2 linked regions of the Arabidopsis thaliana genome follow. The protein of the gene in region 1 interacts with the protein of each later gene in a pairwise test. Each region holds a gene or a part of one and is shown on either strand. Other genes may lie near its edges.

Region 1 (6,480 bases):
AAATAATAATTCTGCTAATCGGATAATTGTAATAAGATGATGACGACGACGAATTAAGGTGTCATTTTTGGTACACATTCACTCACTTACTAATCATATTCGAGATTGATGATTTGCCGTATCAAAATTATTCATTGATTTTGGGTTCCAATTGGTCTTAATAAAATATAACACTTTGCAAATGTTCAAACATACAAATTTGTATGAAATGCAAGATCTATTTAATTCTAAAAGTATTACATTAAATCAAATGTAACCGGTGAAAAAGAATAAGAAAAAAAAACAAATGTAACCATTTCTTTGCATTATAGTTTTAAATAGACAAACTTAAATATAATTACAAGTACAACTCTTGATTTTATATTGGGATACAGGGATAATAGTATAGGTTTGATTGGTGATTATCAACCGCAGTTTTTTTTCTTGTCATCATTTCAACTGCAATTTGGGATCCAAAAAACAACCAATTGTAAATACTTCACATTGGTGGGTGAGAATAAAAGTGTCAACTTCATTTTCCATCTCTTTATCTATCTAATCAAAGAATTCTATCAACTCAATGATGAAGAAACTTCAACTTTGCATGTCTTGAGAAAAAAAGATATTCCAGCATATCAATGTCGAATCATGTGATTTGAAAGGATAAAAGTATATTGCTCACAAAATTTCTAAGTGTTTTCGCGGAAAATAATAATAATATATGCGATTCTATTCTTTTCTTTGTCAATTGTTCCAAAAATACATTACGAAATTTTACGGTAGAGCACCACAAAAAAAAACGATATTGCTCAATAAAACATTCACATCAAGAAGTTATTGCTCAATAAAAAAAAATTGTTTTGTAATAAAAAAAACTTTTCTTTTAATATATTTTTATTTTTGTAACTGTGAGGTTCAACCATAAATTTTTTTTTTATTAAAACCAATAAATATAGCTTAAATCTCTTTCAAACTTTTTTACATATGTGACTAACCATCAGTGACAATTCGAATTTAATATTACTCACGGTCTAGCAGATGTGTTATAAATTTTGAAATCAATTATAATTTTACAAATTATATCAAACTTGGACTTTGAGTATGTCTCTATTTGCCTTAAATGATCAAATATTACATAAACAAAAAAACTTGAAATTAAGGTTATTAATAAATAATTTAATATTTATTTTTGAATTTTGGTGGATTTAGAAAGAATAAAAGTATTTTTTCTGGGAAAATATGCATATTTATATTATTTGAATTGAGTATAGTAAACTAAGGGTGTTAAATGAAAAACAAATTGTTGTATGTACAAATTGACTTCATTTGGTCAATGAAAGAAAGTTGCAGTGTTGGGGGATAAGTATTGAGCGGCGGCTAAAATACTAAAGATTTTCTAATATTGCCATAAAAGATATTTTTTGTAACTTTCTATTTGTCACGGCACTGATTTTTTCAAAACTCCCATGACACAGCTGTCTTTACCCCATAATATATTGAACGTAAAGTAACTTCTTTGACCAATTGACCATGCTTAGTTGCTTACGTTGTTTATACAAAAGATTCATTGTTGGAAGTATAAGTAGCAGTAATATTACATCGTAGGTTGTTTTCTCTCATTAACATCGTCTCTAGGTGACTAGAAGAACGATCCTTTGTGTGTGAACTCGTGAGCAGAATCTAAACGAAAATTATATAAAGCTTAGAATTCATTAGAAAAAAGTGACATACCAAGAAACCCGAAAATGGGGAAGTTAATTTCATTTGAACAAAAAAAAACATTGTAGTTTTGTAATAAAAGGGTTGACATGGTCTTAATGTGGAAGAAGTAAAGAGGCTCACGAAAAGTCCATGTTGTCTACAAAGGAAGAAACAAGAACCAATAGAATTAGAGTTCAAACCAAAGGACGAAGTATGCAAGTTAATTTGACAAGCTAATATCCTAAGAATGAAGACATGGTCTAACTTTGAAACAGCAGCCACTAGTGTCCTATAAATACATAGAGTTCATTAACCTCTCATAATATCTCACAATCAAAGTTCTATCTCCTCAAGTATCAATACATTGATATCCATTAAAAAAAAGAAATATCAATACATTGCTTTGCTTGTTCTGTAAGATGCAAATGGACAGCCCCAAATCTCCTCTCCAGCCCCCGACCTATGGAAACTTAGTTACAATCCTCAGCATCGACGGTGGTGGCATTAGAGGGCTAATCCCTGCCGTTATCCTTGGTTTTCTCGAGTCCGAACTCCAGGTATATATGTGCTACCTAACTATACAAATATTATGTTTGTAAAATTATATTTTCTTAACTCATATATATACATGGATGCATAGAAATTGGATGGAGAAGAAGCAAGGCTTGCAGACTACTTTGATGTAATAGCGGGAACAAGCACCGGTGGTCTAGTGACAGCCATGCTCACCGCGCCTAATAAGGAAGGCCGACCCTTATTTGCAGCGTCTGAAATTAAAGATTTCTATCTTGAGCAATGTCCGAAGATCTTCCCTCAAGATCATTTCCCATTCTCAGCCGCCAAAAAACTCGTGAAGTCCTTGACTGGTCCTAAATATGACGGTAAATACCTTCATCAGCTTATCCACGCTAAGTTGGGTGATACAAAGTTGAGTCAAACACTTACCAACGTTGTCATTCCAACGTTCGATATCAAGCATCTTCAACCTACTATCTTTAGTAGTTATGAGGTTTGTTTATAGCTTGTTCTATTTGTGAAATTACAATATAATAATTAACAAAACTTTGGTTTAATATATATATGACTATTTTATAGGTAAAAAACCATCCTCTCAAGGACGCAACCCTCGCAGACATTGCCATCTCAACTTCAGCTGCCCCTACATACTTGCCTGCCCATTTCTTCAAAGTTGAAGATTTAAACGGAAACGCTAAAGAATACAATCTTATTGATGGTGGAGTTGCAGCTAACAACCCGGTAAATTTCTAAATATTGGATTTATCATTTATGTAGCAATAGGGTTTTTATACGAAGAATATAATATATCAACAATTATTATGGACTTAAATTGAATAATTATAACATGAACACACAATGTTAGACTATATTTCATTTTTTACTATGGAATTTCTTATAATAATCGATACGAGTTTTCTGTAAAAATCTTGAATAGATCATGATATAGTTGTTATATGTCAAGTATAGGCTTTGTTGGCCATTGGGGAAGTAACAAATGAGATCTCAGGAGGAAGCAGTGACTTTTTCCCAATAAGACCAAATGATTACGGAAGGTTTCTTGTGCTTTCGCTTGGAACCGGAAATCATAAAGCCGAAGAGAAATTCAATGCAAAAGAAGTAGCTGGTTGGGGACTATTGAATTGGTTAACACACGACAACTCTACACCTATCATTGATGCTTTCTCGCAAGCTAGCTCCGACATGGTTGATTTCCATCTCTCTGCCGTTTTTCGAGCTCTTCATTCCGAAGCCAACTATATTCGCATCCAGGTATCAAAATCAGCTAGCGCACTAACCATTTCTTTTTCTTTGTCTCCACAATTCCTAAGATTTGGGTATTAATTATATAGGATGACACATTAACTGGGGATGCTGCTTCTGTTGATATCGCTACCGTCGAGAATCTGGACATTCTTGCCAAGACAGGAGATGAACTACTTAAAAAACCTGTTGCAAGAGTCAACCTAGACTCGGGTTGTAACGAAAATGCTTATGAAACGACTAATGAACATGCTCTTATAAAGTAAGTGGCCCAATTTTTGCATTTTATAGCTTTATTCTTTCATACTTAAGGTGATTAAAAGTATTTTGCTAATATATTTAAATTTTGGTTGTGAAGGTTAGCAGGAATACTTTCAAAAGAAAAGAAGATCCGAGACATTCGTTCACCTCATGCAAAAGCTCCAATTAGGATCTAAAGAGATCAATTATTGTATCTTGTATATTGTTGATGATTCGTTTGTTTCACTAATGCACGTTTGGATTTATATTAATAAAAAGGTTGCACCACATTGTGGTCACTTGTACGTTTGAATAAAGTCAATAAATATTTAATGGATGGAAATGCTCTAAAATGTTTGGTCATTTTTCAACATACATTATACTAATAGAATAATGGCGAATAATACATAGACACGTACGTACTGAAACCAAAGTTATCTCAACTAATCTAATTATCTAAGCCTTTTTTTTATGGCTTATCAACTAATCTAAGCATAATGTAAATATAAAAAAAACTATTTATTTTTTACATCTGCCCTATTTAGGCTAGTTATGAAATAATTAATGGCATGACATGTAAATAATAACAAAATTAAGGGTGTTTGGTTTTCCAATGTTTGTCGATTAGGCTGAAAGCGAGAAATCAAAGTGAAGGCAGCGTCTATCTTGGTCGTCGGAATCCATGGCTTCTCTTCTCAGGCCAACTCCATTACTCTCTACACCTCGTAAGCTCACTCACTCTCATCTTCACACATCTATCTCTTTCCCATTCCAAATCTCAACTCAGAGAAAGCCACAAAAGCATCTTCTCAATCTATGTCGTTCGACACCAACACCGTCACAACAAAAGGCCTCACAGAGGAAGAGAACAAGGTACAGGAAACAATACCCAGGAGAAAACATTGGTATAACTGAGGAAATGAGATTCGTCGCCATGAGATTACGCAATGTTAATGGTAAAAAATTAGATCTTTCTGAAGATAAAACTGACACCGAGAAGGAAGAAGAAGAAGAAGAAGAAGACGATGATGATGATGATGAAGTAAAGGAAGAGACTTGGAAGCCTAGCAAAGAAGGGTTTCTTAAGTACTTAGTTGATAGCAAGCTTGTCTTCGATACTATTGAACGAATTGTTGACGAATCTGAGAATGTGTCTTGTAAGAACCCTACTTTGGTCTCGAATTTGACAGTTTGGTAATGATTTGGGTTAATGGGGTTTGTGTTCAATGTACAGATGCTTACTTTAGGAGAACAGGATTAGAGAGATGTGAAAGTATTGAGAAGGATCTACAATGGTTAAGAGAACAAGATTTGGTTATACCAGAACCAAGTAATGTAGGAGTTTCTTATGCAAAGTATTTGGAAGAACAAGCAGGAGAAAGTGCTCCTTTGTTTCTTTCTCATTTCTACAGTATCTACTTTTCACATATTGCTGGTGGTCAAGTTCTTGTAAGACAGGTTAGTTTCTTTGGAAAGCTTTCATAAAGTAACATAGAAGAGTTATATAACTGCATAAGGTCACATCCAGCATATTGAATGGTTAAAGCTAGTTCGATATATTAAAGATTAGTATCGATATAAATGGATTCAGGAGAGTTCGATTTATCGGGAGTTTTGCTGGTTTTTAGTATACTTTTCACACATTGCTGGTGGTCAAGTTATTTGTAAGACAGGTTAGTTTCTTTGATAAGTGTTCACAGAGTAACATAGAAGAAATTTTCAACTGCATAATGTCACATCTAGGATATTGAATGGTAACAGCTAGTTTGATAGAGTTAGAGATTGATATAGATATAGTGGATTCAGGAGAGTTGGGTTTATCGGGAGTTTTGCGGTTATGGTGGGTATGAGAGAGTGGCGATAAGAATGAGAATGAGAATGTGAGAAGATTTCCATTCTTCTTCATTGAGACTCAACTTACAAATAGAACTGTGATAAAGAAACACTCAGATCCTAAACCAAAACCAACCAACACCAGGCTTGCTCAATTAGTTTAAAGCTTGCCCCAAAAGAACTTGTTAACCGACTGTTAGTTAGGTTAATGTGGTATTAACCAACGGGTGAACTATGCTTTTGTCTTTATTTTTGAGATTTATCATAACTGTACATTCTTTTTGTTGGTTCTGTTGTGTTCTGGTTCTTACTTTTATCAATATATCCCATGATTTGGACTGTCATAATTGTTTGGTAACCCTTATATGCGAGGTGTTCAAATGTAACTGATCAGTTGATTCATTAAGGTATCTGAGAAACTTCTGGAAGGAAAGGAGCTGGAGTTCAATAGGTGGGAAGGGGATGCACAAGACTTGCTTAAAGGCGTCCGTGAGAAGCTTAACGTGCTTGGGGAGGTCAGATTGTCAATGAAAATTATAACTCTTCATTCCACCAGTTGCTAAAATCTGATGTTTTGGTGATGCTTTTGGGAAATGAAGCACTGGAGTCGGGACGAGAAGAACAAATGCTTGAAGGAAACGGCAAAGGCATTTAAGTATATGGGGCAGATAGTTCGCTTGATCATCTTGTAAATATCTAGGTTTTAAAGTTAACAGTTTCCGGCACCAGACCTGTGTTCACTACGGTAAGTCTGGAATAGTTTCAAAACTTTCATTGTCAACTGTCTCTTCACTGAAAATCAAATCTCCCCTGCAGATTGCATTGCTCCAATATGCATACCGCAAGCATTGTGGTCTCGCTAATTCAGGGCAGTGCTGGAAATGAAGCTGATGACCACCAGCCAGCCTACATGGCTGGAAGAGTAACTTTCTGTTATTTGTTGGCTTA
Region 2 (5,735 bases), on another chromosome or scaffold:
AGTTCTATCACACATCAGAAGACCTAAGACTCTTAACCACTTCATCACTACATACAGAAACAGTCCAAGAGATGCCAAGAATTAGAATAAGGACCAGAAGACAAAAGATCATATCAGGCTGCAATTATTCGATCCAACTCTTCATGGTATGCATATTTATGATGCAGAACTTAAACAAAATAGCTTCATTGCTTGGGTTGTAGAAAGAGTTATAACAACAAAAACAGATTTCTGAATTCGATGATAAGAGATTTAGCAACAAAAAGCTTATGTATCTGACAAAATTGCAAAAGAAGAAACACAAATACAAAGCTTGGGGAGTTGATTATCGAGAGTTCCTTTAGGAGTTTATACAAAGTTCATGAAGTTTCAGACTTCCACCTAAGGACCCTTCTAGAATCACTTTGTTTGTTCAATACTAACCAAGAGAGCATGTCATACAAAAAGAGACAACCCAGCAAACAACCTAAAAGTAAACATTAAACATTGGTTACATTTTCCCTCATTATACTATAAAAAGCCTTAGTGCTTCGAGCCTCAAAATCATTATACGCATCAGAGTCTATGAATACAGAATATGGCCAGGACTATGTTCAGCCTGAGAGTCTTACAAGTTCCATGACAAGAAGAGGTAGTGGAAGTACGAGTTAGCAGCTAACATTGGACCAAGAACTCAATCACAATAACCTAACTAACAGAGAATTCTTCGAACCTAAAGGCATGACGATCCAGCCTCGAATTGGTGAGGTAACAAAGAAGCAAGAACCAATCAAATCTATGGATACCAAATAACTACTTAACTAAGTAGTGAACAAGCATTGCTTCTTTGCTTTGAAGAAATCGATTAGAACATAAATCAGATCGTTTTTGTGTGTATACCTACGAGAGTAGACGGTGAAAGCGACGGCCACGGCCATGACGGTGACAGCGACAGCTAAACCAACATTGGAAGGAATAACGGCCGACGACCACAATCCACCGTAGTAGCCATTTCTACCAACGCCGCCGCCGCTGCTACCGTCGGCAAAGACGATCCATTTCCCGGCGATGATCGGGGAGAAGAAGACCTTCGTCAATCGTAGTCGTGGAAACATCATCCCAAAACTAGGGATTTTGCTCACCGAGATTTCTTCTTCTGATTCTCAGAGTAAAATCATAGCAATTTCCTGAGTTGAATTGGATGAAAATTGATTATTGAAAAAGTCGAAGGTCGTTTATAGAAATTGGGCCCACTTTTTTAATGGGCCTTCATACAGTTGGGTCATTCTTTCTTCTTTCCCCCCCTCCCCTCCTCCCCCCCCCCCCCCAAAAAAAAGAATGGTTGTCATTTTATTTTTATTTTGTTAGTTTTTGGTTTTTGTTTTCGATTTTTGGCTTTTGCACTACATCTTTCTTTTAAAATTGTACAAAAAAAGAAGAAAAAAGAGACAAGTATCCTGAATTTTCTAAGAATCTCAAGTTGTATGAATTCTAGATTTGATTTAAGAATTGAAGGAACAAATTAAAAACCAGTTTCACTAAATGTAAGAAGTTGATGGTCTCATAAAAATTCCACTTGATGTTTTTCATGAATACTATGAGAAATGATGATTTTTCATGGTGGTATCGTCTATGATATTAGACCTTCTATTTGTTGTAGCTGACTTTATTAACAGATATGTGTATAGTCATAACCTCTTATGCTTATTGAGTTATTTAACATGAACCTCTCTTATGCATATAGTTATCTAACAAGAACCTCTCTTATGCATATAGTTATCTAACATGAACCTTCTCATTTTTAGTATCAACAACCTTCTCATTCTCAATATCAACAACTTTTTGCGTCAATGAAGACTTTTTTTTATCGTAATTATCGTAATTTGTTTGGAAATATTTTCAAAACAAAAAATCTTAATGATCACTTTGCAGTTTGCATTATAAAATAAAAATAAAATCAATCGAACGGCTGAGATTTCCAGGCAGAGGCAGTCAAAAGCGAGAGATCCTTCCAGCCAAGACGGAGGGTTCCATTCTCTTCAACCAAAGTATATCCATTCCACGGTAACATACCCAACAATAAACCCGCTTGTGTCGCCGGGTTACCCCGAAGCGAAACAGGTCTAAACCCGACCCGGCTCAGTTCTTCTTTCCACTTCATTCTCTTCCTTCTTCCTCCTCCGTGCGCCACAATGTTTCTTATCTCCGTCCCCAAAACAATCTGCTCCACCGTGAATCTCTCACCACTCTCTTCACCCAATCCATCTCCTAGCGCGTCAAACAACGCGCTATAATAATGCAAAGCCTCCACGAATCTTCCTAAAAAGCTTCCTCCATCGTCGTAGCTCAATTCTTGCTCCACCACCGTGATCAGATTCGGTTTCAGCCTCCGTAGAATCTCCAACGTCTCGAGATTGTTCCCTGTAACATCATATAACCGGTGCTGCATCCAATGAACCACCACAGCTTCTCCTTGTCTCGTTGCGAGTTGGCTCGGATCGATTAGGTTTCCGATTATGCCTTCAATTGGATGAAATTCGAAAGGGAGGTTTAACGATGATGCGAAATCGGCGAGTCTCCGGCCAGTTGAAGCGAGTAGATCGGAGGAGGAACCAAATCCGGTGATTCGAATTGATCGGAGTTTTCGAGGACGTGAAGCGAGGATGTGAAATAGAGCCGGCCATTGAAGACCTTGCATAACATCGAGATCGATGATATGAACGGAATCTTCTCCGTCAAGCGCCTGAAAAATGGCTTGATTCGCCGTGAAATGTGAGAATTTGATCAGAGGACTAACGGAGTTATAAGTCTGCAAGGCGGAGAAGATTTTCTGAGACTGAACAACAGTGAGTGGTTTCTCGGAGAGGGGAGAACACGCGCCGGAGAGGTAAGAGCTGATCACGCGCGTTTGTAGCGCTTGAGCGAAGTAAGCGACGACTCGCTCCGGCGAGGAACCGAACGGAGAACATATCTCGGAGATTTCGGATAAAAGTGTTGAAGCTTCACGGAGATGATCAGTAGCTACGTATTCGGCGCATTGGAGGAGTAAGCTAAGGAGTTTGATTGCGGCAGCACCGTCGTTTTCGAGTGTTTCTTCGGGGAATTCGATACGGCGTTTAGCGGAGGAAGGATCGTCGGAAGATGGGAGATCTCTGTCTATGCGTTTTGTAGTCATGGAGATTTTGTGAGAGTGGAATCATTGAAGAGAGAAGAAGAAGAAGCAGAAGATAGAAAAAAAAGTGGAGATTCGAAAAGAGAAAGGGTTCGAGAGAGTAATGACAGGAATTTTGAAGAGTGAAGACAAGATAGTATTTTGGATGGATCAGTTTCTTGAAAAGATTTTTATCTTTTTTGCAAAAGATTCAATGTTATAATCAAGTGCTCTTTGTGAAGATTACAGCTCCTTCGATTACTCTTTTTTTCTTTTCTTTTTTCTTTCTATTTACTTAAAACCATTTTTTTATTTGTGAAGATTAAAACCAACGAAACCAAGTGAACAAACCCAATTGGAAAAGATTTGGTGAACTCTCATGTTAATCGTTTATGTGTAGAGACTAGAGACATTAAAAATGTACCACTTAACCAGAGAGATTTAATTTGTCAGTTGTTTTAGTTGAATTTGATTTGTAAAACAGTTGTTTTAGTTGAATATAATTTCACACATTCATTCAAAAAAAAAAAAAAAAGGTCTCATGGATTGATACTTAACCAGAGAGATTCAGAACCATCTCCACCTTTTAAAATCAAAAGTTCAAAACAATAGACCCATTAGTTTAAGTAACCGTAAATGGACATGACTTAACTCCATTGAAAACCATATAAAAGCCCAAAGGCCCATTAATGACTACAACAAATTCAAAACTCGATTGTTAATTTTCTTTTGACCACTTTGACTTTGCGCCTGTGATCTTCTTCTCAAATCCATCCATGTACGCTCTCTGAACTTCTTCTTCTTCTTCTTCTTCTTCGTCGGTGGTCCTAGGGTTTCATCGTTCCCAGAAATTTCATCCAGTTGTGTCAATTGGAATTGATCTCTACATAAATTGTTTCCCTCAACCTCTATGTTTCCGTGATTCAAAACCCTAATTTGTGTGTGTTTTAATCGCGTTTCTAGTTATTCGGTGATGGATCAAACACAGAACACAATCGCCGGAATTGGTGAAATCAACGGTTCGATAAAAACCGAAATCAATGCAATTGCAACCGTCGACGATTCAAATGAGAAGCTGAACCAAATTATAAACTCGAATCAGAAAATTTTAGAACTCCTTCATCAATTAAAACTCACCGTCTCTTCTTTCACACCTGCTTCTCAGCTTCACCTCCTCCAACGCCTGTAACTTTTCTTCTTCTCTATTGATCCATTGTTTTGAGTATTGTGTGATTGAAATTTTGTCTCTATCTGCAGCAATTCTCTTGTGATGGAGCTTGATAATATGGCTAAGTTGTCTGATAAATGCAACATTCAAGTCCCCATTGAGGTTCTTAAGTGAGAACAAGTCCCTTTTTAGACTCTTTAGAGAATTTTTGTTGCTCTCTTATGTTTATATATCTTTGTTTGTTGTAGCTTGATTGATGATGGGAAGAACCCAGATGAGTTTACAAAAGATGTTCTTAATAAGAACTGCATTGCTAAAAATCAAGTTACAAAGGGAAAGAGTGATGCTTTTAAGGTGACTCCTTTTGCTCTACTGGTTCTCTCAATTTGGCCACTCATGATTTTAAAGTCGACATTGTTTGGTACAGGGTTTGAGAAAACATCTCTTGGAGGAGCTTGAACAGGCTTTTCCTGATGAAGTCGATCGGTATAGAGACATACGTGCTAGTTATGCTGCTGTAAGTTGTTGACGTTCCTTTGTTTCTCATCTGAGATAGTTTCTACAATAGTTAGTCAAGGTGATAAATTTATTTTCATTTGAATTCAGGAAGCAAAACGGTTGGCTCAAACGCAAAGTGTGTTACCAAATGGGGATGCTAAGGTCAAGAGTGAGCTATAAGAGCTATGAATCTTGCCTTTTAGAATAAAATTTTCAAGTAGATCAATGAGGATGTAAACGAACAAGCCTTCTTGGAATTTCTATAACATCCGTTGGTTCTTTTGCACTTGACTAATATAGTTTGAGAATTTCTCCTTAGCTTTCTGAGGTCATGACTCATGAGGCTGTTAAATAGTCACTCATAGGTTACAAATAGACTAGTCTCTTAGTTCTATCGATGGGTTTTGTACCTAGTATGTGATAGATTCCTATCAGAGACATAAGATTTGCTTTTTACTAGGACGATTAATCTTGGTTCTGTATAAGATAATCTTCTTGCCGAAAGAAGAAGTGATATGGCTTTGCATTGAGTTGGTTGCAATTTCAATTTTTGTCTTATCTCTGGTTAAAGGAAGCTTCTCATTATCTTTAGCTGTAGTAATGTTAACTACACAAGCATCGTGTTTAGATTGGCTTCTGTTTGACCACTCTCCAACTAGAGGGTGGTATTTATATATTGATGGTCTGTGTGTTTAAGCATTGTGTTACTATTTCCAATAGTTCTCATCACCGAAAACCATGCTCTCAAAGATATATTTCCTTTTCTCAACCATTCTTACAAACACATTTTGATAAATGTCTTTGATCACTTCCTTCACGCTTTTACTATTTCAACTACCAAGGGATCATACAGATTTGTAGTTTAATCAGATACTATGGCTCTGCTTCGTTTAATCAGACACTATGGCTCTGCTTTTATAGTCTCCATATCAATACTTG

What was found. Proteins that work in one complex are often made in the same cells at the same time.
Region 2: the proteins of PLA2A (region 1) and AT5G41920 interact in binary tests that used the Arabidopsis thaliana proteins (3 or more experiments, as listed by UniProt).

The regions. Positions count from the first base shown.
Region 1 is NC_003071.7:11,291,328-11,297,807, reverse strand, and holds PLA2A (phospholipase A 2A), read left to right. Parts: upstream 1-1,889; 5' UTR 1,890-2,099; coding exon 2,100-2,237; intron 2,238-2,320; coding exon 2,321-2,689; intron 2,690-2,775; coding exon 2,776-2,937; intron 2,938-3,165; coding exon 3,166-3,468; intron 3,469-3,548; coding exon 3,549-3,721; intron 3,722-3,817; coding exon 3,818-3,896; 3' UTR 3,897-4,106; downstream 4,107-6,480. Other genes in the region: HO2 (heme oxygenase 2), read left to right, coding at 4,382-4,856, 4,934-5,157, 5,291-5,372, 5,461-5,543, 5,940-6,047, 6,132-6,224. UniProt on the Arabidopsis thaliana protein: Possesses non-specific lipolytic acyl hydrolase (LAH) activity.
Region 2 is NC_003076.8:16,777,401-16,783,135, reverse strand, and holds AT5G41920 (GRAS family transcription factor), read right to left. Parts: upstream 3,494-5,735; 5' UTR 3,155-3,493; coding exon 1,937-3,154; 3' UTR 1,712-1,936; downstream 1-1,711. Other genes in the region: AT5G41940 (Ypt/Rab-GAP domain of gyp1p superfamily protein), read right to left, coding at 880-1,097; MED10A (Mediator complex, subunit Med10), read left to right, coding at 4,104-4,315, 4,388-4,468, 4,547-4,652, 4,726-4,815, 4,905-4,976; AT5G41908 (uncharacterized protein), read right to left, coding at 5,698-5,735. UniProt on the Arabidopsis thaliana protein: Probable transcription factor involved in plant development.